2 linked regions of the Danio rerio genome follow. The protein of the gene in region 1 interacts with the protein of each later gene in a biochemical or structural test. Links are inferred from orthologs where the notes say so. Each region holds a gene or a part of one and is shown on either strand. Other genes may lie near its edges. The genes, in order: crk and arhgap32b.

Region 1 (4,575 bases):
CATTATTCATATACGCAATTCAAAATAGTTCAAATATGCCTGTAAATTACAGTGTATTGATTAGATTTGTCTTCATGAAAATTAGACATTTTAAAATTAGATTTGTCTTAATTAATTACCCATTATTTTGAATTCACTTAAGTGAAAATACTATAGTGCGTTAACATCATCATAATAGCTTATAGCAGTAGTCTCAAACTCAATTCTGGAGGGCCACAGCTCTGCATAGTTTAGCTTTATCCACCTCCAACTCACACCTGCTTCATAGTCACTGGTAGTCTTGAACACCTTGATTGGTTGAATCAGCTGTGTTTGATTAGGGTTGGAGCAAAACTATGCAGAGTGGTGGCCATCCAGGATTCCAGTTTGAGAACTATGGCTTATATGATCAGTGTTTTTCTAAGCTCCATCTTCAAATTACGGTTTATTAGCCTACATGAATGGTTTAGTAGCCTTTGTAAAGGTGACCAATATGTTTCAATTTATCATGTCATTTCATGGTCAACAGGTAGCCTCAAAATCTCCTGCTGTGTTTCAAAGCCATATCTTTTAGTCAAGTTGTGCCATTACGGAATATATATCGATAAAAGTGCACTGAAGAGCTGTGAACAATGACTTGGTCAGTATTTCTGTACTCCCACAATGATTAATGAACCAAGGGAAATGCAAGGAATGACAAACCGGAACAGCAATATGTGTATGATTATTTGTAAACAAATAAAAATGTATTTGACTGTTGTTGGTATCAAAACCAATAAACCTTTAACAAATATACACTTCATTTATGCGTTACGCGACGAATAATGTTGGTCGTCAATATGTTTGATTAGACCATTTGAGAGCTGAATTGTAACTGGGTGAGACTGGTAGAAAGACTACAAACTATTAGTAATCGATGTCGACATCTAGTGGTTGCTAATTTTGTGGACTCGCTTGTAAAGGACAGTGTTTACGCACTTCCGTTTTTTTTTTTTTTTGTAATAATTTACAGCACTTTCGACCTTTAAATAAATTAGCGAATATGGTTGATGAAAATCATATTTAACTTATGTTTTAAAGGGATGTCTAATTTGTTAAATTTAGTAGACTAACTGTTAGACCACTTACACTATGTTTGTTTGCTCAGGTAATTTCGGGGTCAGCCCGCTTGGACTGGTTAACAACCTGTTTGGACCAGCCACTTGAACCTCTCACTAGAATTTAACAAAACTGTTATGTTTAGCGGAATTTGGGTTAATACAAAGATTAATGCGATGCAAATTGATCAGTATAACTAATGTAAATTCAGAAGTTATAATTGTGTTCATATGAACAATTCCGAAATACGATTACATAAATTAAAAATAAAAAAAACGGTTGGTGTTAAAAAAAGATTGAAACTCCATAATGATACAAGATAAGGCCTTACTTTCAATATTGACCGCACCAATATGACCACCAACAGACACCATCCGCGTCGGCGGCTATTGCATCACTTCCGGGAAATAAGGTCAAAAATTGTTTCCCTTGTCCGCCATTTGAAATATTTGAACTTCCTTGTGACAACTTCCAATGTACGTTTTGGTTTACACTGGACAATTATCAGAAGTTCTGGGTGAATAGCCGCGGTTTTTGCGTCCCATGCACGTTGGAATACCGACGTCAATTGTTTTGTTAATCGATTGGGCCAAAAAGCGTTGAAAAGTGTGCGAATGCTGCGCGTATTCGAAACGTGTTCAACAACGGAACGCGGTAAAGTTTTTGCATGAGTTGAACGCTGCTTGCGGATAAGGAGAGGCGAAGGGAAGGCCTGTGAAGCCTGGGCTTTTTTCTAGCGCTAGTCATGGCCGGAAATTTTGATTCGGAGGACCGAGGGAGCTGGTATTGGGGGAGATTAAGCCGGCAAGAGGCGGTTTCGCTGCTCCAAGGGCAGAGGCATGGAGTGTTCCTGGTGCGGGACTCGATCACTATTCCCGGGGACTACGTGCTGTCTGTGTCGGAGAACTCCAAAGTCTCTCATTACATAATAAACAGCATCAGCAGCAATCGCCAGTCAGGACCAGGTAAGCGTTTGAACAAATGTATTTAAATACTATTAACGACAGGACGGATAAATACTGCTTTAGCAAAGCGCTTAGCAGCTCGATGAAACTTCTATACTACGAATAGTTGTGCATATTCAGTCTAAAATCTCGCGTCATTCTGGGGTGCTGTGTAACCAGGGGTTCGGTCTTGTACACTACGGGCCCCAAATATCATTCTCGGGTGTAAAATGATTTGTATGCTTTCGTGTATGATGCCAGATTTGTTATGTGAAAATTGTATACAAATTCGTTTTATAATATAATATAGGAAACGTTTAGTTGCAATATGTGTCATTATTTAACATAGTTGTTCAATTGTTCACACGTTAGCAGATTCTTTGAAGTATCTTTATTTTATCTACTTACATTTTGCTTCGTTTGAATCGTGTCTTATAATTTTGTGTTCTTGGTTTGTTTATTTGTTTGTTTATATTAATTTGTGCATATTTATCTTGACTAAATGCTCGTTTATTTCAGTTTCACCCTTATTTTAAAACCGCTGCTTCATTACATTCTTACTCCGACATACATGTCTCACCTTATCAACTTTTTATATAACAAATACAATCTTATTAGTTATGTGTCTGTCATTCATTTGAATTACACGCATTATTATAGGTCATGTCAATCACTTATAACATAAACTCACTTTTTTTGTTTGCAGAAATGATCAGCAATATTTAATTTCCAATCTTTTTTGCTGCTTTTCCCATAGGTTGAACCCATAAAATGTTACATTGTTATACTATGTAGTTTTTGCAACACTTATCAGATTTTCATGGATTAGAGAGAGTTCAGTTTAAATGTACACCCCGATAAAAGTTCTAAACCTATATTAGTTTCTCTTTTCTGTTGAACACAAAAGAAGATATTTTGAAGAATGTTGTAATTAAGTAGCCATTTACACCTCCATATTAGAAATAAAATGCCTACCAAATTCCTATGTTCAGTAACTTTTTTTCGTGTTAACATTATGATGAGTAATTGTGAAAAAATTGAATTTTTTGCTGAGCTACCCCTTTAAATTTAAGCAGATCTTGATTATCCATCCATCATCTCATAATGTCATCCCGCAGGGCTTGCTCCTCCTCGGTTCCGGATTGGAGATCAGGAATTTGATGCCTTACCTGCCCTGTTGGAGTTCTACAAAATCCACTACCTGGACACCACCACTCTCATTGAGCCCATTAGCAAATCCAAGCACTCGTCTTTCATCAGCGTCAATGCGGGGACAGGAGGAGCTCCTCCGAGGCTAGAAGAGGAGTACGTCAGAGCTCTCTTCGACTTTCCCGGCAACGACGACGAGGACCTTCCATTTCGAAAGGGTGATGTTCTTCGAGTGCTGGAGAAGCCAGAGGAGCAATGGTGGAATGCTCAGAATTCAGAAGGCCGTGTTGGCATGATCCCTGTGCCCTATGTGGAGAAGTACCGACCTGCCTCACCGACATCAGGTGCACCTGGCGTATCAGTCAGTGGGTCCGGTGCTCACGGCAACTCTGACGGCCACAGCACTCAGTCTCCACCTCTGCTTGGTGAACCGGGCCAATACGCCCAGCCCACATCCTTACCCAATCTACAGAATGGCCCAGTTTATGCCAGGGCGATTCAGAAGAGAGTCCCCAATGCCTATGATAAGACAGCTCTTGCTTTGGAGGTAACAAATGTAAACTTTTCTGAGATATTAATAAATATAAAAATGAAAATATTGCATCATTTATGAACCTTCAAGTTATTCTAGATGTATCCAGTAGTCAGCATTTGAAGTGGATCAAAACCTTCCATCTTAAGTTGTACTAAAATAGTCCTATTTAACAACATCCATTCTTGCCATGATTGTCAGAACTTTATTTGATCTACTTTAAATGTGGACTACTATATGTCCTATTCCTGACAAACACTAATGTGACTTAGCTTTGAATTGCAAGTAAATGTACACAATGTTTGCTTCAAAAAAGCACATTAATGTGTTATAAGTCATTCATACTGCTCAGTGGGTTATTTAATATTTTCTGAAGCAAAGTGTTAAGTTTTTGAAAGAAAAAAAATGCTTATTTAAAAGATTATAAGCTCATATAAACTGGAGCTGCACAATTATTTAAACACAATGTTCATGCACGTCGTTTTGTGAGTAAAAGCCAGCTCTGTGGTCAGTAGTATATCTCCAGCTTTCAAATGGAGCACCATTTACTAGTTACTCATAGTTCATGATCTGTTTGGTAAATGCAGCTACATCTAAAATCAAATAAAGATACCACATTTAACATGTTTTAACTTCCAATTTGTCTTTGAGATAATGTGGCTATTTCTGTTCAATAACTTTGTGTTCACACCAAAGGCGCAAGAGCATCAGAGTTCTCTCTGGCTTTCACAGTTCCAGCGGCGAGAGCGTCAAAAATCGATACATTAACCCCGTATTTAAAGGAGCCGTTGCAGCATATCAGCAAATTAGTTACGTTCCCACATAAAAATGTGTATTTTAGTAAGAAAATGTTGCGCAGCTTTTTAGTAAATT
Region 2 (4,437 bases), on another chromosome or scaffold:
GTTTCCTGTATTTTCTTATTAGATCTTTTTCTTATCAGATAAGAATCGAGATTGTCGCGATTGTTGCAACTACTAAATCCTATTGACAGGAGCAGAAATGAACTGATTCAGATTCAAACTGAAGCATCAGAAAACGTGCAGTAGGCTACCATAAAAGGCGTGAATTCTACAGTTTGCAACTATAAGATGCTCTACAGACTATTCAAATAAAATTGTCAATTGTTGCACAAACGTGTGAGCAATTTAGTTACTTTTTCACATGCAACGTATTGTCCATTAGACCATTAATGATGATACTACCATTTACAAACTAGAGTGGCATTGCCAGTATTTTAGAGCCATTGTATCACGATACTACCATGGTACCGGTAAACCGTGCAACCCTAAAAGTTAGCTTAACTTAATCACAGAATTGTTAAATTAATGACATTTACTAAACTCAAAAAAAGCTTTTTGCTTCTTGTTTAAATTATTTTTTAAAATGAGCTAAAACAACACAATTCTTGATATGTTTGAGGGTGCAACTTAATTGTTCTATGTTTAGTCCACTTAAATTTGTAAAAACAGTTTAACTTAATTGATTTCTGTTGGAACAACACAAAGAAATTGTGCTTAACCAAGTATTTTCTACAGTGTCCCGACACAGACAGTTTTTTTTGAAAAATCTAAAAAATCTCTCTCTCTCTCTCTCTCTCTCTCTCTCTCTCTCTCTCTCTCTCTCTCTCTCTCTCTCTATTTTATCTATCTATATAATTTTAAGTTAATATTTTTGCTTTAGTCTTGTTTAGTCTTATTATTATACTTTTTACAATTCCAGATATGTCTCAATATATTATATTCGTTTAAAACATTCACTTTAAGTAGGACACCAGACAAACCAATACAGCAAAAACACGGTTATTCCTCAGCATTTTGTGCCTGTGGTGACAGCAGTTCAATAGATGGAGCTGAAGATCAGTTCTGAAGCATTCTGCTGTCGTCACAATCCATTCATTCATTAAATTGAAAGCTAGATTTTATATTATTTATAAAATATTTTTTTGCTTTCGACTTTCCTCAGGTCATGAAGTTAGGATCTGTGCTGCCTCCTTATATTGCACTATGGGTTAATGTGACGTTTTGCATAATTCATATAAAAGCAGACCGTCTGCTCTGGTGTCTGTGTAAGAGAACGAGTACAGTTCGACAATTCATGATCTAAACAAAAGAAATACAACAAGCACTAACAAGAAATTACCACATAACGGTAACTATTAAACGACACAGTGCGTGAGCTCCGGTAAAATTGATCTAGACTTCTGCGCCAATCGCGCTTATGTGGTCACGGTGACGCGCATGGAGCACCACTGCGCGGTCACGCTTTTGAATGTTGAACCGAAGTCTCCCGTGGCTGTACGTGTGGCTCAGCCTACAGGACAACACACCTCTCTACATGTATGACCAAATACTGAAATGGACGGCAGATACGGGACAGGTTTAGTCTCATTTTCAGTCATATATTTTTAAAGTTTAAACAGGAACGCCGCGCGAACAGCTGGTTGGTTGTAGCATAGCTGCGAAGCTAGCTCGGCAAACCCCTTCCCCAAAAGGAGATTTTAATGAACCTTCATTATTTCGTTCTTCAGAGGTGCAGTTTTCTTCAGCACACTTCTGTCCGGTGTGTACTTTTTGGCCGTTTTCATTTAATTCTGTTAATTTCACGATGCGACTCTCTGGCACCGGGTTTCTCGGCTGGCTCGTTGTCGTCTTCGAGGAGGATCACTGGAGAGAGCGGTGCTGAGCCATACGGACACCCTGATATTCATCTACTCGGTGATTTACAGCTTTCTACCATCGGTAAGTGCATCAACATAGCATATTACCTTTATATTTATTCATAACTTGTGAGTGAAACGGTTGAGCGAGCGGTGAAAGTGGAGTGAATTGAATGTGTGCGCGCGCGTGCACTCGCGTGCTCCCCTATAATAAACTCTGCTAAATGGAATTTTATTGTGTATGAATTGCATTTTCTTCCGTTTGATTTATTTATTTTAATAAACCAGTGTGCCTGGGGCGTTTGAATCGATTATAATGTTCTGTCTGTGATAGAATATACCAGACTGTAGGTGGTAGACTGTTTATTCTGTAGCCTACTTTTTACGGGTGCATAAACTTAGTAGCTGTCTCTACTTGTTATCGTTAAATAGTCGACGATGAGATAAAGAATCGGAGTCAAAAACGAATTACCCTTTATAAAGATGGTATGTTTTGTGTTTCAAATGGATTTAGACGCCGATTTAATTTCGAAGATTACGAAGAGAATACATACAATTCAGGTCTTACTTGCACTGTTTTCTTTGTTCTGGACTTGTTTTTTCAGTTTTTTAGGAGTCTAGAACAGCTAAAATGACGGTGATCCAGCTACAATTTTTAATAATATTTTCTTACACGTTTTATATTTTCCTCTAAAATCCAATTTGAAAAAGCAACATTTATTTCTGTCTCAGAAACGGCATATAAATATGTTGTAATGGAAAGCTTTATCCTAAATTAATCTTTATTTGACAAGCCAATTATTCTCGTCACACCACCCTCTGTTTAAACTATAGACAAATAAAAAATAGCTCAGTTCTTGCTCTCTCTTTAATTTTGAAGGGATTTGCCATCACAAATCAATGTTTTGATCTAAAGCCAATAGTTTGGTTAGATATTAAAAATGCTCTCTTTGTGGCCACTTCACTGTAGAAAAATAATGACGTGACTGAAATTATATTAAAGTCTCTGAAAGATTTCCAGACCTGACATTAAGCCTATAGAGTCAGCTGGAAGCATCTTTCTGCATATTGGAGCTCTGTGCTCTTGGGCTGTGCTCAAAATATTGATTTTGGTGATAGAATTACAGCACTGTGTATATGCATAAAGCTAACCTATATTAGTCTTTCTTGAGTTTTATTTTTGAGCTGCCTCACTGACAGCAAATCTACAATGAACTACATCAAATCTCTCCAGATGCTTTTATGTGTGAACAGTGCCATCTCAACCTTAGTGTTTATATCAAACAAATGGACTGAGATGAATGCAGCACAGACCAAAGACATTGTGAACTGAAAACAGGACATAATGTCATAAAATATGACCATAAAAAGAGAATACCCTTGTAAGTGTCTTGATTTTCTTGTCATATTTGTAATGTTGCTGGTTTGTGTGTATGAATTTCTGGGAGTGTTTTGACTACTTTATAGAAGCTCAGCTTTTCATGAGCGCCAAATTGATAAAAATACACGTTTAGACCTGTGCAGAACATTGTTTAAGATGATTGTTTATTCTATAAAACATTTTTGACATAATATTGTTTTGATTACTAATATAATTAGGGCTGGGCGATATGGCAAAAATGCAATCTTGGTAATTATTGTCCATATTGAACGATAATTATATATATTTCGATATTAGTTGTTAATGCTTTCAGATTTGAAAGAGTAACCTAACAACGACTGAAGTTTTTATCAATACTGATAAAACTTTTTTAATTAATATTGACAATGGTGTTCGGTCAATACATTTTAATACCGATTTTATCACCCAGGCCTAGTATAATATATTTTTGACTGATAAATGTTTGATAGTGGGTGACGCAGTGGCGCAGGGGGTAGCCTCACAGCAAGAAGGTCGCTGGGTCGCTGGTTCGATCCTCGGCTCAGTTGGTGTTTCTGTGTAGAGTTTGCATGCTCTCCCTGCGTTCGCGTGGGTTTCCTCCAGGTGCTCCGGTTTCCCCCACAGTCCAAAGACATGCGGTACAGGTGAATTTGGTAGGCTAAATTGTCCGTAGTGTATGAGTGTGTGTGTGTTAGGGGTGTCCCGATTTCGATTTTTAATCGAAATCGATTGAAATTTATGCTTAATTTCGATTATCGAATCAAAAAATAGAATCGTCGATGCTGCTGCCACACCCCCATGTCACGTTAGCTTGGCTTGCCAAGCGAGAAAAAAAACATGCTTGTTGAAGTGCTTGTTAAACTGCAAACGCAGGAGACCCGTCGACAGAGCTTAAACCCTCTCCTCTTTCAATGAAGTTACTTATTCCAGTTACTTATGTTGACAACGTTCGTTTTGTCGACAAAAAAAAAAAAACACAGTTTGCAAGCTCTGCTATGTACGTATTACGGTTGGGATGATAGACGATGGGCGCATCGCGATCCTCCGCCCACACCCGTTGCAAATCTGCTCTTAAATGGCATTTCAGAACGACAACGATCCACATCCACACTGCTGTGTAGCATTTCTGAGCAGCCCTCCTTCCTCACTACCGTTGAAAACACACATCACGTGACCACACACACTCATTCACACACAGATACAGACGCACACACATTGTCATGCGCTCGAGACAGCGGGTCAAGGCAGTCAGCGAGTCAGTAGACTGCTTCCATCTTTTACTTTCACACAAGTACTTAGTCA

Evidence for each region.
Region 2: the proteins of crk (region 1) and arhgap32b form a complex in vitro, tested with the Homo sapiens proteins (2 studies listed by BioGRID and IntAct, with this or other methods). The link is inferred for Danio rerio from reciprocal best matches to the Homo sapiens genes CRK and ARHGAP32.

What each region holds. Positions count from the first base shown.
Region 1 is NC_133190.1:27,216,722-27,221,296, forward strand, and holds the start of crk (adapter molecule crk), read left to right. Parts: upstream 1-1,519; 5' UTR 1,520-1,822; coding exon 1,823-2,042; intron 2,043-3,139; coding exon 3,140-3,717; intron 3,718-4,575. UniProt on the Homo sapiens protein: Involved in cell branching and adhesion mediated by BCAR1-CRK-RAPGEF1 signaling and activation of RAP1.
Region 2 is NC_133196.1:26,121,504-26,125,940, reverse strand, and holds the start of arhgap32b (rho GTPase-activating protein 32), read left to right. Parts: upstream 1-1,339; 5' UTR 1,340-1,836; intron 1,837-4,437. UniProt on the Homo sapiens protein: GTPase-activating protein (GAP) promoting GTP hydrolysis on RHOA, CDC42 and RAC1 small GTPases. May be involved in the differentiation of neuronal cells during the formation of neurite extensions.